2 linked regions of the Cricetulus griseus genome follow. The protein of the gene in region 2 purifies or fractionates together with the protein of the main gene of each other region. This does not show direct contact. Links are inferred from orthologs where the notes say so. Each region holds a gene or a part of one and is shown on either strand. Other genes may lie near its edges.

Region 1 (4,557 bases), on a different chromosome or scaffold from region 2:
AACCCCAGGCTTCATAAGTAAATATTTAAAAGAAAATAATTAGCCAGGGGGTTGGTGGTGCATGCCTTTAATCCCAGTACTTGGGAGGCAGAGGCAGGAGGATCTCTGTGAGTTCGAGGCCAGCCTGGTCTACAGAGTGAGTCCAAAAAACAATACAGAGAAACCCTGACTCGAAAAACCAAAACCAAACAAAATAATAATTAATAATAATAATAATAATAATAATAATAAAAACATTTTCCGGGAATGGAGAACTCTGGACAAAAAGGTACTTAGCATCCTTTGTCTTTCTAAAGTGGAGAAGTAGAGAATGGCTTCACTTACAAAGAAGGAAAAGGACTCCCCGGTGAGATGGCCATGCTACAGCATACCTGGGCTTCCAGTGCTATTGCACAGGTCCTTTTGTCCTTGGCAAATTTGCTTGTCCGTGAAAGAGGTAATACTTTCCCAGGCATTAATACCTCCAGGACAGGTGACATCTTGTGGTAGTATCCTGAAGAGAACACGTGTGATCATAAATGCACAGCCAAAGAGGTTAGGGTTAGCTCAGTAGTAGAACAAACATTCATCGACATATAAGGCATGGGTTCATGGGTACCCAACACACATGCACACAGATACCCATGTGCATACAAACTCACTCATGCACATATGCACACACACACAACAGCAATAGCAGCTTCGATTTTGCTGAGCACTTAATAATTAACACCTATGACTCTCTCTTCCCCACTACTCACAGAGTCTGGAGCTGGGTAAAGCCACGGAAAATGTTGGTCAAACCATCCTTGAGAGGATTTGCTTGAAGGTCTCTGCAAAGTACACACTGTTAGTACTCTGTTGAGAAAAGCATGATATTTACCTTTATACATGATTTCCTGGCCTATTAATCTAATCCCTATCCTCAGTTGTATAGGTTTAGACACTAATGTTAAGAGTTATCTCCAAAGACTTTCCCATCACCATATTAGGAAAGTACCTAACCACTTACATGATAAGAGCAGTAGAAGCCTGAAAAAACTTTGGACCAGGATCCTTCAGGGAACAGTTCTGGAGATCTAGCCTGAAGGAACAAAGTGATTAATGTAACTATGTCTCTTTTCCATCCCTGGCAAGGTTAGTATTTGTGCACATACCCCATGGAACATCATTGTGTTCAGAACTATAAGAGAAGTGTGATGGTAGACATTGTAATCATGTATTATCCAATCTAGTTAGCCCTAGCTACATGTAGACATTTTAATTTACCTAAAATTCAAGAGTATTCTCACAAGTGGTTCCTGTGCTGATTAGTACTGATATGGAACATTTATATCATCAACAGAAATTTCTATTGGATCACACAGTTCTGGCCAGTAAGGCTATGCACTGTGCAAATATTGGAAGAAACTTTGTGTTATTTTTCTCCAGGATTAGTAGCTCTAATCCTGTGATTCTCAGACTCAGAGGTTTTTGTTGTTGCTGCTGGGGATTAAACACAGCCCTTGTATGTTTGAGGCAAGCACTCTGTCACCAAGCAACAATCACAGCCACCACTCTACAGAGACTTGTTTTGTTTTGAGACAGGGTCTCACTCTGCAGCTCAGGCTGGTCTAACCTGTGACAGTCCTCCAGCCTCAGCCTCTCAAATGCCAGGTTAAAGAGAAGAACCACAGTGTCCAGCATCCCCACTGAAATGATTTCTTTTTGAGACAAGATCTCAGTATAACCCAAGCTAGTCTTAAATTCCCTAAGTAACTAAGGGTGACTGTGGGTTTCTCTGTGTAACCCTGGCTGGCTTTGAACTCACAGAGACCTGACTGCCTCTGCCTCCCAGGTGCTGGGATTAAAGGAATGAACCACCACTGCCCAGCCTATGTCCTCCCCAGTGCTGAAATTACAAAGACCAGGCTCAGCCACAGAGGTTTTAATGAAAGAAAAAACAAAATAAAACAACGAAAATAAGCAAATCAGCTGGGCATCTAGGAAAAAAACCCAAAAGATCTTTTACCTATGGAATAAAAATTTACATCGAATTTAAACGTTTTAGAATTAACATTGGATGCCTCCAGTTAGGTGCCAATATTTATCCCCAAAGTCAGTTAGGCGAGCCTGTAGACTCCAGTCTGGGAACTTATTTTGAGTATCCAAGGATGTCTTCTCTTCCCTCACCCCAAGATGGTGCCCTTCTGACTCAGGCAGCATCGGGCTTGCATTATTGCCGCCGATGCATTCTCACAGTAAACAGCTACCCTGGACGTATTTTGCACGCCTCCCGGACAGTGGGTACATATCTGCAGAAGAGAAAGAAACCTTAAGACTCCAGAAAGAAAAAAGAACAAACAAGAATCAATAGTTAGCTGTCGGTCCTCCCTCCAGAGGACTATAACACAGAGCAGAGAGCTGGCTTTTATAAATAGAACCCATTTCTTCCCCTACAACCGGGCACCAAATCAGCGCCCTGTGCAAGTCCTTCCCGAGAGCAGGTCCTCATCTGTGAGAATCATTACTTGACCCTATTATGTCCTCTCCAGAGACTTCTCCGCCTGACAGGCATGGTTTGGCAAGTGTTAGAGGGCTGCATGCAGGTCTCAGAGTGCTCCAGCATCACAGAATACAGTCCTGCCAATGCACACGCACAGTATCCGTGCAAGGACAGACAGCTGGCCGAGGGGCCGGGGGACTCTGGTAAAGTTACTCAAAAGCAAGGAGATCCAATTTCAAAGGTCTCTGAATGTGGGCAAGGCAAAGGTGCCAGTGGCCGGCACTACGTGAGCACTCGAGAGAGAGCACGATTCCCGCTGGGACAGGGCTAGGGAATCCTCAGGGAGGGAGAAATCTGGGCTTGGGGCTGGGACAGCCACCGGCGGGCGAGCTCGACGCCAGGCTGACGATCAGCAGCCTTCTTCAGACATATCTCAGACTTTCTCCTGTACCTCAGGTAGAGCCAGAGCCCTTTCCATGCCCACAACCAGGAGCAGGGCAGCAGCCCAAGGCACCGGGTTCACAGAACTGCCTGGCTCGCGCGACGCCATTTTCCACTCCTTTCGACCTTCTTGACAGCTCGCGAGAGCCAAGCGCGAGGCCCCGCCCCCACGCGTCACTCGAGGCGGGACCTAGTCTCCCAAATCCTGTCAATCTGGGGCGTGGCCTAATCGGTCTTCGGCCGGCGCCGCGGGGCGTGGCCTAATCTGCCAGAGCGCCGCTGCTGCTCGCCGACTCCTGGGATCATGTCTGCGCTCCACTGTGCCTGGTCCTGGTGGGCAGACCCGCCCTCCCTCCATTCTTCCGGGAGCTCAGGCCGCCCCAGGCGCCGCTTAGTTGCTTGGAGTCTACTGCACGCTTCCTCAGCACGGTGCGGACAGCTGGGCCTCTCCATCCGCCCTCAGTAAACATGGCGGCACTGCGATCAGGGCGGGCAAGGGGGTGGGGTCCCGCTGTCACCAAGCCGGGCGCTGCTCCGGCCCGGCTGGCCCGCAGGCCAGCTACCCACGTGGAGGAGGTCTCGCAGGTGGGCCGGGCCGGGATGGGGTGGGATGGAATGGGATGGGGCGGGGATTGGGCAGCAGCAGAGAGGCCGAATTCAGCCTCCTCGGGGCGGGACAGGCGGAGCTGGGAGGGGCGGGGCGGGGAGCGGGGTGAGCCTCTCGGCGTGGGCTGGGGAAGAAGGTCTTAAATACTAGCGCAGAGTGTGGTGGGTTCGCCACGTGTGGAGAGAAGGGGAAAGCTGGATCGAGAGAGGGTATGGGTGATGGAGGGGCGAAGATCGGAGGGCGAAGGGCAGACGCAGGCAGGGAGGACACGAGTCTGGGAACCTTCACCTTAATGTTGCGTAGTGTTCGGGAGCCCGGGCAAGGTGTTGAAGCGGCAAAGACGCTTCCCTAACTCGTTCATTGCCTTCCCAGGGAAAGGACAGTGCTGGTTTCGGAAAGAACGAAGGAACTTTGGTAGTCCTGGCCGAACCACTGACGCAAGGCAAGGTAGCGAGCGCTTCCGCAGGAGTCGCAGGAGTCCTATCTGGGAGGGCGCTGGGAGAGACCCGTCACACCTAAGGACAGCTATTGCTTTTGGTGAGGACACCACCTGAAAAGGTCACCAAAGACAATTGGAGTTCATTTCAGGTAACCTCCTTGTGTTTCCTGCCCACATGGTCAAGTACCTCCCTGGAAGTCCTGAATTTACATTTGCTAATACATTTAGCTGCTGGAGTATTTTGTTTTAGTGAGAAAACTGAGGAATTTTAAACCCAAGACATAATGGTGGCGGTTGACCCTGCAGGTGTTCCTTTAGATTTCAGAGGAGGAAGAGGATTTAGCCCTGTGGCCCAGTAAAGAAACCCACAACCCTTCAGTACTTTCACTGCAGTTAAAATATCTAGTGCAGTGTGTGATGACAGGGTTTCTAAGAGGGGACCCTACTTAGCTTGGCTTTCTTTTGGCTCCTCTGAGATAGACATGTCCATTGGTGTGAATCAGTGGGGTTTTTAGAAAGCCATTGTTCTTTTCCTAGAACTGGGTTGTGTGAAATGAAGACTGTGTTACTGGATTGGCGTTTTCCTGTCTGCTTAGCTCTTTGTTT
Region 2 (4,537 bases):
AAACTTCTTGGAGCCAGGTGTGGTGGTGGACTCATTTAACCCCAGCACTTAGGATGCAGAGGTGAGCAGATCTCTGTGTGTTTGAGGTCAGCCTGGTCTACAGAGCAAATACTAGGCCTGTCAGGGCTTCACAGTAAGACCTCTCTATCTTTAGGAAAAAAAAGTTTTCATGAACAGGATACTGCAGCACACTGCCCCAGCTATGAGGGAGGTGGAGATTAAGACTGCTTGAGCACCCAGGAGTTCAAGGTCAGCATCATAACAAGACTTCATTTCAAAACATTAAATACACTGGGCATGGAGATAACACAAAATATTGTCAGTCCCAGCTACTCAAAGCCGACAATGCAGTTAAAATGTCAAGACCTGTCTGGACTACAAAGTGCAGTAACAGATGACAGCCTGGGCAACACTGGGATCCTGTCTCTAAACAAAAATAAAATAGAGCTAAATATACTTCAGTGGCAGAGCACTTGCCTAACATACATTTGCAAGGCCCTGGGTTCAAGACCCAGCATCAATAAATAAATAAAAAGTTTCTATTCCCATCTCTGCTTCTTTAATGATTTACATGTTTACTATGAACTCCATAAAAAAAAAAAAAAAAAAAAAATGTTTTCCTCTGTCCTAAATCCACAGTTGTATCCCCAGGACCCTTCCCACCCCAAAAAAAGACTTTGTCAATTTTTTTTTTTTTTTTTTTGAGACAGGGTTTTTCTGTATAACAGTCTTGGCTGTCCTGGAACTAGCTCTGTACACCAGGCTGGACTTTAACTCACAGAGATCCACCTCTGCCTCCGGAATGCATCAATGATTTATTTCTTTGGCTGAATACCTACAAGACACCAGCACCCCATAGGGTCTTTGCATATATAATCATAGTCAGCCCTCCAGGTAGTGTTCAGATGAGAAACAGATATCAGAAAGTAATCTCTCTTGAGAGACAAAATATACATTCAAACCCAGACCTAACTAGATTCCATATTATATTGTGAAAGTGGGAAAGTTAAAAGAGAAAACACCCCAGTCTTGGTAAAACATAATTAGAATTACCACAGCTAAAACTCACTGGTATGTAGTTGAGGGTAGGAAAAGTCCAACTTACAAACCAACGCGGTTCCCTTTCACCCTCAAATGTGTAGAACTGGCAATCATCTGACTCACAAGGATTTGGTTTTTACTTGTACAAAGTAAAATGATTATGTGTACTCACAGTACTGGTAGGTAGAAAGGCACTAGACGGTTGTTGAGTTTGGCCATTTCACAATACTGTGTGTGCTATCACTTACGGACAATGCTCAACTCTTACATGGTATCTTTCTGATCTCTCATCATCTAACTAGAAGCCATCTATGGGTACCATGCACATCTCTTCTCTTTTCAAAATTCAAGCCTACCTGGTGTAAACTCCTAGAAGCCCGGCAGGAAGATCCCAAGTTTGAGGCCAGCCTGGATTAGAGAGTTTGACCTTGTCTCAAAAACAGACAGAGTGCACATTCGTTTGAGAGCCTGCCTTAAAAGCAGGGTCTAGTCCCCTGCAGAGAGCTTGACCGGCACACATGACACCTGCCATGGTGGTACACACTAGCAATCCTAGCACTCCAGAGATGGGAAGATCAGAAGTTCAGGGTCATCTTCAGTTACACAGGGATATGACGGTGACCTGGACTACAAGACACCTGTCAAAACACACACAATCATACACACACAATCACACACACACAATCTCACACACACACATACACGCACACAATTACACACACATACACGTGTACACACACACACACACACACACACACACACACACACACACACACACGCACACACACACACCCCAAACCTAGTAATTCTTTTTTCTTAAAACCGCCTCATTACCACAGATGTTTAAGAACCTGGCTATCTGTTTCAGGGTTCCTAAAACCACATCCTTTTATACCAAGATTCCTGTGACCACATTCTCCCTATTTTCTATTTCTGGATACGTTTCAGAGACAACTTCTTTCTCCTCCCTCCTCCAGACAAAGCAGTCACCATGTCAATGGTCACTGAGATGGCATGTCATCCTCACTGATGAACAGGCACTCATCCAGAACCTCAGACAACGAACACTGAACTTGCTCCTGAAAGCCGGAGAGCGACCACACATTGCTCTGACACCAGAGTTCAAGTCCATTTAGTTCACTTCTTTGAGGCTCCATTCCTCACTAAGGAGTAAATGAAACGATTTACTGGATTTCTAGGGTAGAGTCTGTCATACAGCAAACATCTGGCAAGAAGGAATGGCGAAGAAACAGTCCAACCATCAAAGCAGCGAAGGCGCTCTTTTTGTCGGCGATTATTTCGTAAACACAGAAACGTGTGTGAGGAGACCAAGCAATGCTTAGAAGAAGGCTGGCAATTACGAGCTTGTTTTTTGCTCGCCCTGGCAACTAGGCTTCCGGTAAACGTTTCGGTAAGTTATCACAGCATGGCCTAAATATTTCAGGAAACAGTAAAACTTAAGTGGACGACACATCCCCATTGTCCCTGTCAAAATTGACAACAGGCCACACACTCTGCAAAGGAGAAGGGCCAAGAAATGACGAATAAGCAACAGCTGAACTCAACTGGGGTCCTCCTGATGGAAAACAAAAGCCGAGTTTCTCCCTCCTGACCTCGCTGCACCCTACGGAAAGCCTCCCACCCGCCTGAAGCGCGGCCGTCCCTTGGGCTTCGTTTTTCTCCGGTTCGAGCATCCCATCATCCAAGGCCAAGGGACCGGCGGGTGGTGCGCGGGCCGGGCCGGGCCGGGCCACCTTCCCTCCCGGGCGTCCTCCTCCCGCCGCGGTGCACGCGACCTCAGGACCGCGCAGCAGCCGCACCCGGGACGCCGCCAGCGGCTCCGGGGGGCTCCGCGGCTCGGTCCAGCCGTGCCCGCGCCGCCACACCCACCAGCTGCCCCCGCCCCGCCCCAGCCGGCCAGGGCCCCGAGCCCCGGGACGCACGCAGGCTCGCACCTGAGACCCGCCGCCTTAGCACCAGCTCCGCTCCGCTCCGCGCCGCCCGCCGCCCCGCCGCCACCTCACCGGGCGCGGTGTGGCCACAGCTTCCGGGAGCTCACGTGACCGAGTGTGCAGGGGCATGCCGGGAGTTGTAGTCCGCCAATGCCGCTTCACCTGCCGCGGTGGATGGAGCCTGCAGGTCAGGTTTACCTTGGCTGAAAAGGGCAATGAGTGAAAGATACAATTTGAGAGGAACTGGTAGGCTGACCAATTTTTTTTTTTTCCAAAAAGAGGCTTTTTCTCTGCTTTAGATTTTTGTATAATTAAAGGCAGTTGTCCTTCTAGGTAGGAACATTTCACCTATCAGTACTTGCAGCACTACAGCCTATCACCACCCCACCAAAATAAATCATGCATGTTACGATTCCCAGCAGCAGGGCAGGAGAGATGATTAAATACATAAATCGGTTCATTTTTTTAAAATGGGGCTGGAGAGATGGCTCAGCAGTTAAGAGCACTGGCTGTTTGGTCTCTGGGAGACTCAGGTTCGGTCCCCACATGGTCCCCACGGTGGCTCACGACCACTCGTAACTCCAGGGCCAGAGGACTCGACGCCCTCTTCTGGCTCCCGTGGGCACTGCACACAGGTGGCATCACTCACACATAGATAAACACATACATACAAATAGAAAGGAGAAGAGGAAGAGACCAAGGAGGAAGATGCCCCTGCCGCCACCAGATCTCCTTCTGCAGAGTTGTTCAAGACCAGGTAATAGGAAGAACACGTCCTGAGTAGGGCAGTGGTGGTGTGCGCCTTTGGTCCCAGTGAGTTCTGGGGTCCCAGCCGGGGCTACACAATGAGCTCCAGGACAGGCTCCAAAGCTACAGAGAGACCCTGTCTCAAAGAAAGAAAGAAAAAAAGAAAGAGAGAGAGAGAGGGAGAGAGGAGGAGGAGGGAGGGAGGGAGGGAGGAAGAGGAAAAGAATGCTTCTTTATACTTTCAGCCCTCAGAGCAGGAATCCAAAAATCATGATAAACACAAAACATGAAGCTAAGCAGGCTCCAGAAACACCTCCATGTGTTCAGTTCATATGGGTCACTCTAGGGTGATTTTTAGCCTTTGTGGCCACAGGGGAACCAGTCAGCTTCTAGTGAACCCACTGACTGTAGTTTTGCAAAAGACTTTTTTTTTTTTATTGTTAAACAATTTACACCTTAGCATGTCAATTTCAACACACCAAAACCTCTTATCTGAAGCTCCCCAAAGGGACACATGCCAAAGCAATTCCCAGTCACAGGACATCTCAGTCTTCTAAGTCCTTCCACAACCAAGTTTTGCATAGACTTTGAACCTTTAGGAAACTCTCAGATAAGATTTATATACTTCAAACAGAAAGTACTGGACACAAAGGGTAGCAGTCACAAAAGGCAGATCCAGGCCCAGGTGTTAACACCCCGGGAATCAAACCAGCTGCAAAGCTTTACAGGAACTCCCGCCACAGTGGTCAATATGGTAAACATTGCTTACAGGGGCACTCCTGGACCTGGTTCATTTC

Evidence for each region.
Region 1: the proteins of Slc37a3 (region 2) and Atraid purify together in Homo sapiens (affinity purification with mass spectrometry; 3 studies listed by BioGRID and IntAct, counting the BioPlex papers as one, with this or other methods). This does not show direct contact. The link is inferred for Cricetulus griseus from reciprocal best matches to the Homo sapiens genes SLC37A3 and ATRAID.

Annotation. Positions count from the first base shown.
Region 1 is NC_048600.1:13,332,991-13,337,547, forward strand, and holds the start of Atraid (all-trans retinoic acid-induced differentiation factor), read right to left. Parts: upstream 3,071-4,557; 5' UTR 3,015-3,070; coding exon 2,916-3,014; intron 2,274-2,915; coding exon 2,152-2,273; intron 1,064-2,151; coding exon 992-1,063; intron 813-991; coding exon 741-812; intron 494-740; coding exon 372-493; intron 1-371. UniProt on the Homo sapiens protein: Promotes osteoblast cell differentiation and terminal mineralization. Plays a role in inducing the cell cycle arrest via inhibiting CCND1 expression in all-trans-retinoic acid (ATRA) signal pathway.
Region 2 is NW_023276806.1:188,772,563-188,777,099, reverse strand, and holds the start of Slc37a3 (sugar phosphate exchanger 3), read right to left. Parts: upstream 3,088-4,537; 5' UTR 2,997-3,087; intron 1-2,996. UniProt on the Homo sapiens protein: Unlike the other SLC37 members, lacks glucose-6-phosphate antiporter activity.